Mus musculus: one gene and its partners. The protein of the gene in region 1 binds, or shares a complex with, the protein of each later gene. Links are inferred from orthologs where the notes say so. Each region holds a gene or a part of one and is shown in the gene's direction. Other genes may lie near its edges. The genes, in order: Ik, Smu1 and Prpf38a.

The links.
Region 2: Ik (region 1) and Smu1 share a complex: the UniProt entries of both Homo sapiens proteins name them as parts of the spliceosome B complex. The link is inferred for Mus musculus from reciprocal best matches to the Homo sapiens genes IK and SMU1.
Region 3: Ik (region 1) and Prpf38a share a complex: the UniProt entries of both Homo sapiens proteins name them as parts of the spliceosome B complex. The link is inferred for Mus musculus from reciprocal best matches to the Homo sapiens genes IK and PRPF38A.

Annotation. Positions count from the first base shown.
Region 1 is NC_000084.6:36,747,558-36,751,209, forward strand, and holds part of Ik (protein Red), read left to right. Parts: intron 1-606; coding exon 607-666; intron 667-993; coding exon 994-1,161; intron 1,162-1,313; coding exon 1,314-1,428; intron 1,429-1,656; coding exon 1,657-1,727; intron 1,728-1,833; coding exon 1,834-1,880; intron 1,881-3,546; coding exon 3,547-3,652. UniProt on the Homo sapiens protein: Involved in pre-mRNA splicing as a component of the spliceosome. Auxiliary spliceosomal protein that regulates selection of alternative splice sites in a small set of target pre-mRNA species. Required for normal mitotic cell cycle progression.
Region 2 is NC_000070.6:40,740,844-40,744,495, reverse strand, and holds part of Smu1 (WD40 repeat-containing protein SMU1), read left to right. Parts: intron 1-337; coding exon 338-465; intron 466-1,354; coding exon 1,355-1,481; intron 1,482-3,652. UniProt on the Homo sapiens protein: Involved in pre-mRNA splicing as a component of the spliceosome. Regulates alternative splicing of the HSPG2 pre-mRNA. Required for normal accumulation of IK.
Region 3 is NC_000070.6:108,569,251-108,572,902, reverse strand, and holds part of Prpf38a (pre-mRNA-splicing factor 38A), read left to right. Parts: intron 1-11; coding exon 12-97; intron 98-2,636; coding exon 2,637-2,747; intron 2,748-3,652. UniProt on the Homo sapiens protein: Involved in pre-mRNA splicing as a component of the spliceosome.

The DNA of each region.
Region 1 (3,652 bases):
GTTTCAGTGATGACTGGGATGCTCTGGGTTCTTATTATTCCTTCATGAGTATTAGTAATAGAGTCATTGCTTGTACAAATGGACAGATTTCTGGGCCTGTTATTATTACTGTATAGTCTACAACGGGTTTTTTTGATTGGTGTCTAATGTTAATGTCAATTAAATATTTATGATACTTTTGAAAACTTGAGTGATACAGGTATTGATAATATTATGACTGCCTGATCAGCACTGGTTTTTGTATTTTGTTATTTTTGTTTTCTCTCTCTCTTATTTAAGAATAGTCTGACTAAATAACCATGGCTGGCTAGCTAGCCTTGTCACTGTGTAGACAAGGTTGGCCTTGTGCTCACAGAGACCTACTGAGTGCTGAGCGCAAAGGTGTGTGCTGTCACAACTGGCTGTTCTGCTCTTTTCTTTTCTTTTCTTTTCTTTTCTTTTCTTTTCTTTTGAGACATTGTCTAGACTTGACTGGACTTTACCATGTAGTTCAGGCTGGCCTTGAATTTATCCTGTTATCTCAGCCTCTGATGTGTTCTCAATGCCTTGTGAGTTTTAAGGGCTGGGGCATAATTTTCCTATGAGTGAGTTTCTTGTATCTTTTAGGATGCCAAGGGAGTACAATGAGGATGAAGACCCAGCTGCACGAAGGAGGAAAAAGAAAAGGTAAAGGGATAGTGGAGGAGATTGCTTTGTAAGGGAGCACAGTTTGTGGGCAAAGGAGTAGAGGAGTTGTCTAGTAACAGACGGGGGGTTTCCTACCGTGCAGGTACATCTCTGAGAGGGCATGTGGTAGTAGTCAAAAAGAAAATCTGCGTTAGAGGAAACTGAATTTCTGAGGTTGATGACAATCAAGAGTTGACTGGCAGTTCTATCAGGACATACATAGTTTTCACCACAGAGAGCTACTTAAAGGTATAGGGAAAAAGGAACATTTGTGTTGGCCTTGATATAGGAGTTGGTAAGCTGTACATTTCCTTTCTCTGGTCACAGTTATTATGCCAAGCTTCGCCAGCAAGAAATTGAGAGAGAGAGAGAACTCGCAGAGAAATACCGGGACCGTGCCAAGGAACGGAGAGATGGTGTGAACAAAGACTATGAGGAAACTGAGCTGATAAGTACCACAGCCAACTACAGGGCTGTGGGCCCCACTGCTGAGGCGTGAGTAAAGGGGGATCCTAAGGCCTGTTTTCACCCTATCAGAGACACAGTCACACTATATGTTTTTTAACCTACTCTGCAGCACACTGACATTTCAGAAGGAATTTGTCATTCATAAAGGACTCTTTTAACATGGCTGTTTCATTATTCAGGGACAAATCAGCAGCAGAGAAGAGAAGACAGTTGATTCAGGAGTCCAAATTCTTGGGTGGTGATATGGAACACACCCATTTGGTGAAAGGTTTGGATTTTGCGTTGCTTCAAAAGGTGAGTTCTATTTGAAGATGTGGAGAGAAATACTAGTGTTCATGTTTGGACATTTGTAAAGTGAAGGACACATGATTGTCCAGACCATTAGTTTGGCGGAAGAATTATAGGTGCCCTGTCTGTAGAACTTGTGACTGAATTCCTTGGGGAAGTCTTCTCTTGTCTGTCACCCTAGTGTGGTTAAGGGCCCGGATCCTTCCTTCCTTTTACACTTGTGTACTTGGTCAGGTGCGCGCTGAGATTGCCAGCAAAGAGAAGGAGGAAGAGGAACTCATGGAAAAGCCCCAAAAGGAAACCAAGTGAGTCAGCAGGAGAGGGCTTGACAGTGGAAGTGAGCACTTACAGTGGACATTTTCTGTTCTTTATACTGCCCCACCCCCCAATATTTTCTTCTTCTATTTTTAGGAAAGATGAGGATCCTGAGAACAAAATTGAATTTAAAACACGCCTTGGTGAGTAGTGTAGTCTCTATAGTAGTGATTGCATTTTATGTGGATTATAAGGAAGTTTATTGGTTTTTTTTTTTTCCTCCTGACAGGGGTTCTCTGTGTAGCCCTGGCTGTCCTGGAACTCAATTTGTAGTTCTGGCCTCAAACCCACAGAGATCTGTTTCCTTCTGCCTCCCAAGTGTTGGGATTAAACATGGGCCATCACCACCTGGCATGAAAGTCTATGTCTGGGTCCATTTTCAGTGGACCCAGACATAGACTTAATTATTTTTCATATCATTTATGTCTCTTCAGTTAGACAGGAGCCTTTCCATGTCTTTTCTATGTGTGTATCAGAGAAGGGTGGATAGGTGGGAAGTGATGATGCATCCTTGTAGACTTAGAGCTCACACGGCTGAAGTGGGAAGATGGCCAGTTGAAGGCCAGCATTGGGTAATTAGCAAGTCCCTGCTTTGAAAAACTCAAAATAACTGATAGCATAGTGATGCATACCTATAGTCCCAGCATTTGGGAAGATGGTCTTGACTAAGAGTAGGGCAAGCCTGGGCTGCATCATGAGACTCCCATCTCAAAGACAGTAAGTGAAAGAGTAAACAAATAAAGCCAATTAATTTTTTAAAAGCTGAACATAAATAACAAAATAACAAAAATATAGAGAAGGTAGCATGGATGACTAGAGAGATAATTCAGTTGGTAAAGTGTATCTTTTTACAAGCTCAAGCAGGAAGACCTGAAGTGATACCTAGAACCCATATATAAAAGCTGGGTGTGGTGGTGCTCTTATAATTTCAATGCTGGGGGCTTAGAGACAGGTGGATTCCTTGGTCTTGCTGACTAGCCTGCTTAGTCAACTTGGTGAACTCCCGACCAATAAGAGGATGGTGTTTAAGGGCTGACACTGCAAATGACTGTTGGCTTTCACGTGTACACACATGAAAAGAATGTAGCATGATTAGAGATTAAAGAATGTGGAGAGACCTGGATTTGATTCCTTCTGATGAAATCCCACTAGGTGTGTACTTTGCTCACTTTTCTTGTATATAAAGTTAGCTTAACGTGTACCTGTGTGATTGTTTAGAAATAAAGAGAAGTGAAATGCATAAAAGTGTATATAATGAGCTTGCAATGAAGTGTTTTTCTGTTGTCATTAATAAAATCTTAAACCAGCTTAGTGGAGCTGGTGCATGAGGCAGATGGATCTCTCTGAGTTCGAGGCCAGCATGGTCTGCAGAGTGGGTTCCAGGATGGCCAGGGCTACACAGAGATTCACCTGCCTCTGCCTCCTGAGTGCTGGGATTAAAGGTTTGTGTCACTACTCCTGGGTTAGCTTTATATTCTTTGTTTGTTTGCTTGTTTGTTTTGAGAAGGGTTATCTTTTTGTAGCCCTAGCTAATCTGGAAATAGCTCTATAGACCAGGCTGGCCTTGAACCCACAGAGATCCACCTGCCTCTGCCTCCCAAGGAATTGGAATTAAAGGCATTAACCACCACTGTGTGGCAGCTTTAGTATTTTAGCCAGTAAAAAGTAATAATGCTTATCTGACAGCATAGGGTTTTTTGAAGATGTACTGTGGTAGAGCAGCTGATGCTTAGCACAGAGTAGGTGATAAATGACTACTGTAACAATGGAAGTTACACTGGCTGTTTGAATATCTTTTTCTTTATATAGGCCGGAATGTGTATCGGATGCTTTTCAAGAGTAAATCATATGAGCGAAATGAGCTGTTCTTACCAGGACGTATGGCCTATGTAGTAGACCTGGATGATGAGTACGC
Region 2 (3,652 bases), on another chromosome or scaffold:
GATTCTTTTTTTTTTTTTAATTAATTAATTTATTTATTTTTTTGGTTTTTCGAGACAGGGTTTCTCTGTATAGCCTTGGCTGTCCTGGAACTCACTTTGTAGACCAGGCTGGCCTCGAACTCAGAAATCCGCCTGCCTCTGCCTTCCAAGTGCTGGGATTAAAGGCGTGCGCCACCACCGCCCGGTGCGTCAGAAGATTCTTTATCCTCCCCTTTCCGCCTTAGCCAGGCAGATTGAGCCGTTGGCCTGCAGCTTGATGCTGCCTTGGTCTGTTAGCACTGTGTTGTGAACTGTGTCTGCTAACACTTTATTCACATGTTTTATTTTCTTCATAAAGGTTTGGAAGATTCAGAGTGGACAGTGTTTGAGAAGATTTGAAAGGGCACATAGTAAAGGTGTCACCTGTCTAAGCTTTTCCAAGGACAGCAGTCAGATCCTCAGTGCTTCTTTTGACCAGACAATACGGTAAGAGGAATCCCTGAACTGTCTTCCTGAAGATTTGATAAATAGACGAAGGCCCCCGAGAGAAGAAGTTCCAGTGTGTCTATGATGTTTCCAGGATGGGGTGATACAGATAGCAAGGGTGTGTGGGGCTCATTGTCCCCAGTTCAGGTGGCACAGCACTGTTCTGTTTGAGTTGTATCCAGAAGAGATTTGAAAGGGTGGGATAACAGTGTTTCATGTTTCTTAGTGTGTGGTGTGTGAAGCTAGGTGTGGAGGTGGAGGCTTGGACTCTCAGCCCTTGGAAGGCAGAGACAAATAGACCATGAGCCGGGCGTGGTGGCGCACGCCTTTAATCCCAGCACTCTGGAGGCAGAGGCAGGTGGATTTCTGAGTTCGAGGCCAGCCTGGTCTACAGAGTGAGTTCCAGGATAGCCAGAGCTATACAGAGAAACCCTGTCTCGAAAAACCAAAAAAAAAAAAAAAAAAAAAACAAAAAACCAAATAGACCATGAATCCTAAGCCAGCGTGAACTCCCTAGTGAAACTCTGTCTTAAAAACAAAAGTGTGGTCTGTGGCTCGACCTGTGTTATAATCACTTTAGAGGACAGTTTTACAAATTGCTGGGACACAGCTGAGATCACTAATTACTAATCTCTTATTTACTAGTCTCTTATTACTAATCTCTCATTTACTAGTCTGCACAGAAGCCTAGGTTACTGACATTTCTCGAAGTTTCTTACTGTGCAGTTTATATTGGTTTTGTTTCATTGTTTGACATAATAAAAATGATACTGTGTATAGTTCTTCATTTAATATTGTATAATGCTATTATAATTCATCTTAAATACATTCAACACTTTGCTTCCAGAAATAACATGCTGGATATTATTGTTTTACTTTTACTTGATAGAATTCATGGTTTAAAATCTGGAAAAACCCTGAAGGAATTTCGAGGCCATTCCTCCTTTGTTAATGAAGCAACGTTTACACAGGATGGACATTACATTATCAGTGCGTCCTCTGATGGCACTGTGAAGGTGACACATTCCCCTCCAGTCATTGTGGGCTGTCTGCCATGTGTTCCGTTTTAAGAAGGTATTGGTGGTCAGGATGGTGGTGATGCAGCGTGTGAGTCTGAGACCACGGTTCCTTACTGCTCTGTAGGGTCTGCAGTCCTAGAACCTCTAACTCATATAACCCAAGCTTTATCATGGAGAGAAAGAGTGAACTCAGTGATGCTGCCTTCATAGATACACGCAGTAGTTCAGTCTTCCCCTAGCTGTAAGCCAGTGCTTAGAGTCAAATCAAAAGTCTCAGTGACCAAGTAAATCCCTGTTTCTTGTGTTTCTCCCCAAGTTTAGGGCTTTCCTTATATTTGAAGAGGAGTAGGGGAAAGAAAGCGCACAAGTGTAGTGAAAGCCATCTGTAACCTTGGGCCTTTCCACCCACGCCCAGGTTCACAAAATAAGGCTCTGAGACTTCTTACATATGAATAAATGCCTAGGCCAACAGGCTTGGCTCTGTTCCCCAACCAGCTCATAATTATCTATTTATTCTAAGTTGTGCTCCATGGCTGGTTACCTGGTCCTCGGTTTCATGCAACTGTCTTCTGTGTCTAGGTGAATCTTTCATGCCGGAATTCTTTCTCTGTGCTGGATGCCCTGCCTTCTAATCATGTATCAGCTCACTTACCCGGTGGCTTTTTATTGACAGTTGAAGCTTCCATACATTGCACAAGAGACTATCTCTACACAGAAATAATAACTTCCCAGCAGGGGCTGGAGAGATGGCTCAGTGGTTAAGAACACTGACTGCTCTTTCGAAGGTCCTGAGTTCAAATCCCAGCAACCACATGGTGGCTCACAACCATCTATAATGAGATTGGATGCCCTCCTCTGGTGCATCTGAAGACAGCTACAGTGTACTTACATATAATAAATCTTTGAAGAAAAAAAAAAGAACCTCCCAGAAGTTGAATCTGAGGCAGTCCTGCCACGTGATCAGTGCCAGCCTAGGGTCTATGAGACCTTGTCTTCAAAAAACAAGGGACCAGGTGGTGGTAGCACATGCCTTTAATCCCAGGACTCAGAGGCGGAGGCAGGGGGATTGATCTCTGAGCTCGAGGCCAGCCTGGTCTACAGAGCTAGTTCTCAGGCAGTTGGTTACACAGAGAAACCTTGTCTTGAAAAACAAAACAAAACAAAACAAAACAAAACCAATCTAGTGGTGGGAGAGACAGCTCAGTGAATGAGTGGCCGCTGCTCTTGAAGAAGACTCCTGTCAGTTCCCAGCACTTACCCGGTGGCTCTTAAACACCTGTGACTGTAGTTCCAGTTGGCTTAGTTCTCTCTTGGTCCCTGGCGCTGGAGGCACTGGAGGCTGTGCATCCCACGAAGGCCAGTGGTACACTTGAATCCGTAAGTGGGAATACACGTGCTCAGAACTCTCCAGTACCCTTCGCCTGGCATAGCTCAGCCGAGGTATTTGCTCTTTCTCCAGTTCCTTAAAGATTTGCTTCTTTCAGAGGCTGGAGAAAAGGCTCAATGGTTAGGAGCATTTGCTGCTTCTCCAGAGAGCCAGGGGTTTGATCCTTGTACCCATGCTCTAGAATAGCCTGGGGAAGAAGGGAAGAAAAAATTACCCAGGAACGAAGCTATGGCTCAGTAAAGTGCTCGCTAGGCAAACATGAGGACTTACGTTTGATTTCCAGCACCCCATAAAAGCTGGGTGCCAGTAATCCCAGAACTGGGAAGGAGACAGGGCAGTCCCTGGAGCTTTCCAAACAGACATTTCATCTGAATCCTTAAATCCAAGTTCAGTGAGAGATCCTGTCTCAGCTTACAACTGTCTGTGTCTTCAGTTCCAGGGGATCAGGTGCCCTTCTGGCCAACTCAGGAACCTGCCTATATATGGCCTATGCTTACACAAACACTTTATTTATTTTCTCACTTATTATTTTGGTGTTTTGAGACAGCCTCACAGTGTAGGTCTGGCTGTCTTGGAAGACCAGGCTGGCTTTGAACTCATTTGAGATCTGCCCACCTCACCTCTGCCCCACCCCCACCCCCCAGCTAAGCTGCTAAAGTACCCCAGGCTGGCCTCGAACTCAGAAATCTGCCTGCCTCTGCCTCCCGAGTGCTGGGACTAAAGGTGTGTGCCGCCACTCCCAGTGTGCCCTTTCTTTTTCTTTCTTTTTTTTTTTTTAAAG
Region 3 (3,652 bases), on another chromosome or scaffold:
TTCTCTTCCAGAGTTTGTGCTGATGCATGTAGATGAGTTCATTTATGAACTCCTGCACAGTGAGAGAGTCTGTGATATCATTTTGCCCCGGCTACAGGTATGAGACAAAGGTCACCTTTTACTTCTCACATAAACACAAATACCTACTGAAACACTGAAGCTTTAAGAGTTGTCTTAATAAGTCCTTATACCAAAATTTACAAAGGGTAGGGAATGAGATAAAAGCAGGTAATGTTTCATGGGTAGGCTTTGAAAATGAATAGAGGAAAGGATGTCTTATCCCAAATATACCTGGAGTATTGTTTTTTCAAATTGGTAAGCTAGGCTAAGAAACAGAAGAAAGATCACTCAGAATGAGAAAGAAAACACTCAATCCTTTAAACGTCTTGTGTCTTGTTTATCATCTTCCTTCACACCCAAAGTGATAACTATTCATGAAGCAACAAAAAAAAGGAGAACCTTTAGGCCTGAGAAAATGGCTTAGTGGGTAAAACACTTGCTGTACAAGCCTGACACTCTGAGTTCATATCCTTAGAACCCACACAGAAGGAAGACGGAGGATAATGCCAAAAGCTTACAGATCAGCTAACCTAGCATCCACATGTACACTCTGGCATATGTGCTTCACAGATAAAATTGTAAAATATTGAAAGAACTAAACAACCTTACCGAAAGTTTATTGTGCCAGGCATAATAATTGTGGTGCTGGACTTTAGTCCCAGCACTTGGAAACCTGCTCTAGCTCTAGGACAACTAAGCCTTCATGGTGAGACCATCTCAAAAAACAAATAAGCCTCACCACCAAAGAACCCTACAAACAACAACAAAAACAAAACAAACAAAAACCGCCCAGTGTTAGCGAAATGGTTCAGTGGTTAAGAGTGCTTGATCTGTAAACATAAGGACCTGAGTTCAAGTCCCCAAGCACCCATGTAAAAAGCATGGCTGCTAAGTACCTATAACCCAAGCTTGGCAGGCAGAAACAGACAGATGTTTAGAACTTGCTGGCCAGATAGTATAGCCAAAATGGCAAGCTTCCTGCTCAGGTAAAGACTTGTCTCTCACTGAACTAAACTGGGAAGCAACAGAAGACACTGTGGCCCTATTCTGGCATGGGTAAGCTGGCATGTGTATTTGCAGACTCATGTATTTGTGTCACACACACAAATGAGCAAATTTGCCTTTATAAAATTAAAACATTTACTTTTCATGTTATTTTAATTAATCATTATTAATGCTGGGGGTGTGTGAATGTGCCAGGGCATATAGGGGCCAGAGGACAATCAATTTTCACCTTCTACCAGAGAATGCCAGAAGAGGGCATTGGATCCTTTGGAACTAGTGAGCCACCATGTGGGTACTCGAGCTGAACTCAGGTCCTTTCCAAGTGCAGCAAGTTCTCTTAATAGCTGAATCATCTCTTCAGCCCTGAAGGTAACATTTTTGATGACACACAAATTGATTGACAATGTATTGACCTTACAGTATAAGACCACAGGAAATAGAAACAATTGAAAATGAACTTGTTCCCTTCAGCAATCTGTTTATGTTTGTAGGGGACCTTTAAAAAGCATATGGAGGGGCTGGAGAGATGACTCGACGGTTAAGAGCACCTACTGCTCTTTGGATGGTTCTGAGTTCAAATCCCAGCAACCACATGGTGGCTCACAACCATCTATAATGAGATCAGACACCCTCTTCTGGAATGTCTGAAGACAGCTATGATGTACTTACATATAGTAAATAAATAAATCTTTTTTTTTTTTAGAATTACTCTTTTTTTTTTTTTTAGGTATTTTCCTCATTTACATTTCCAATGCTATCCCAAAAGTCCCCCCATACCCTCCCCCCCACTCCCCTACCCACCCACTCCCACTTTTTGGCCCTGGCGTTCCCCTGTACTGGGGCATATAAAGTTTGCAAGTCCAATGGGCCTCTCTTCCCAGTGATGGCTGACTAGGCCATCTTTTGATACATATGCATCTAGAGTAAAGAGCTCCGGGGTACTGGTTAGTTCATAATGTTGTTCCACCTATAGGGTTGCAGACCCCTTTAACTCCTTGGGTACTTTCTCTAGCTCCTCTATTGGGGGCCCTGTGATCCATCCAATAGCTGACTGTGAGCATCCACTTCTGTGTTTGGCAGGCCCCAGCATAGTCTCACAAGAGACAGCTATATCTGGGTCCTTTCAGCAAAATCTTGTTAGTGTATGCAATGGTGTCAGCGTTTGGAGGCTGATTATGGGATGGATCCCTGGATCTGGCAGTCTCTAGATGGTCCATCCTTTTGTCACAGCTCCAAACTTTGTCTCTGTAACTCCTTCCATGGGTGTTTTGTTCCCAATTCTAAGAAGGGGCAAAGTGTCCACACTTTGGTCTTTGTTCTTGAGTTTCATGCGTTTAGCAAATTGTATCTTATATCTTGGGTATCCTAAGTTTCTGGGTTAATATCCACTTATCAGTGAGTACATATTGTGTGAATAAATCTTTTTTAAAAGGGGAGGCATATGGATTCCACTGTATATTAATATCATACCAGAGCTGTGGTTCCAAGGCTTTTCTGTCAACCCCAGAAACTCTGTTAGGATCAGGCTATGGAAGAAATGGCAATGACTGTTGACGTTGTGGTCCCTGTAGAAACGGTATGTGCTGGAAGAAGCTGAGCAACTGGAGCCTCGAGTTAGTGCCCTAGAAGAGGACATGGATGATGTGGAGTCTAGTGAGGAAGAGGAGGAGGAAGATGAGAAGGTAAGGCATGTATGAAAGTGGTAAGGCTGGGAAGGAAGGAAGGAATAGCCCTTATTTTGTAAGCTTTAGTTTGTAAATTAATGATAACCTTTCCTTTTTACATTCTTTGTGGATTAATTACTTTTGGGTTCCTTTTGGACAGGGAGAGCTCTAGTGTGTGGATAAGACTAGCAAGACATTTCAGTTCTGCCTCAGGAATAGTAGGATCACAGGCCTGTGCCTAAAAAATAAGAATGCTGTATTCTTACTAAAATTAGGAGCTTTGGTGTCAAATACCCCTTTGGCTTGAATACCTCTTCTCTGTCATAGTAGTGGTATAGTCTTAATTGTCCTGATTTTTCTCCCTTTGAGTTAGGGATTGATTGCATCCACAGTGTCACTTATGCTGAATGCATATTCTATCCCTGAGGTACACTCAGTCTCTACTGCTGCGTTAGATTGCTTGTCTTCTGTAAAGCAAGGAGGAGTACAGTACTTTTCTCTGAAGACTGTTTTGTGTTCATGAAGGTATATTCCCACATAATTGGTAAATGAATGGTAGCTATCAAAAAACTTGGACAAAACATGCTTGAACATACTCTTAAGGGGAGAAGTTACCTGCTACATAGTCATATTTTGTCAGAATTAATAATTATAGTGCTGAAAAGTGGAAAACAACCCACCTCAGCAGTCAGGATGTAAGGAGTCAGGTCGATTGTTGAAATGATTTTTAAGCAGCCATTAAAATGATGGAAATGTGGGAGTGCTTCTAGTAACTGCTCTAAAGCATTTGCAATTACATTCTAAGAAACACTGCAAGAACCAGAAGGACATATAAGAAATGCTTGGCGTGGTGACACATGCCTTTAATTTGAACCCTCTAGAGAGACAGAAACAGCTCTGTGAGTTTGAGACCAGCTAGAGTT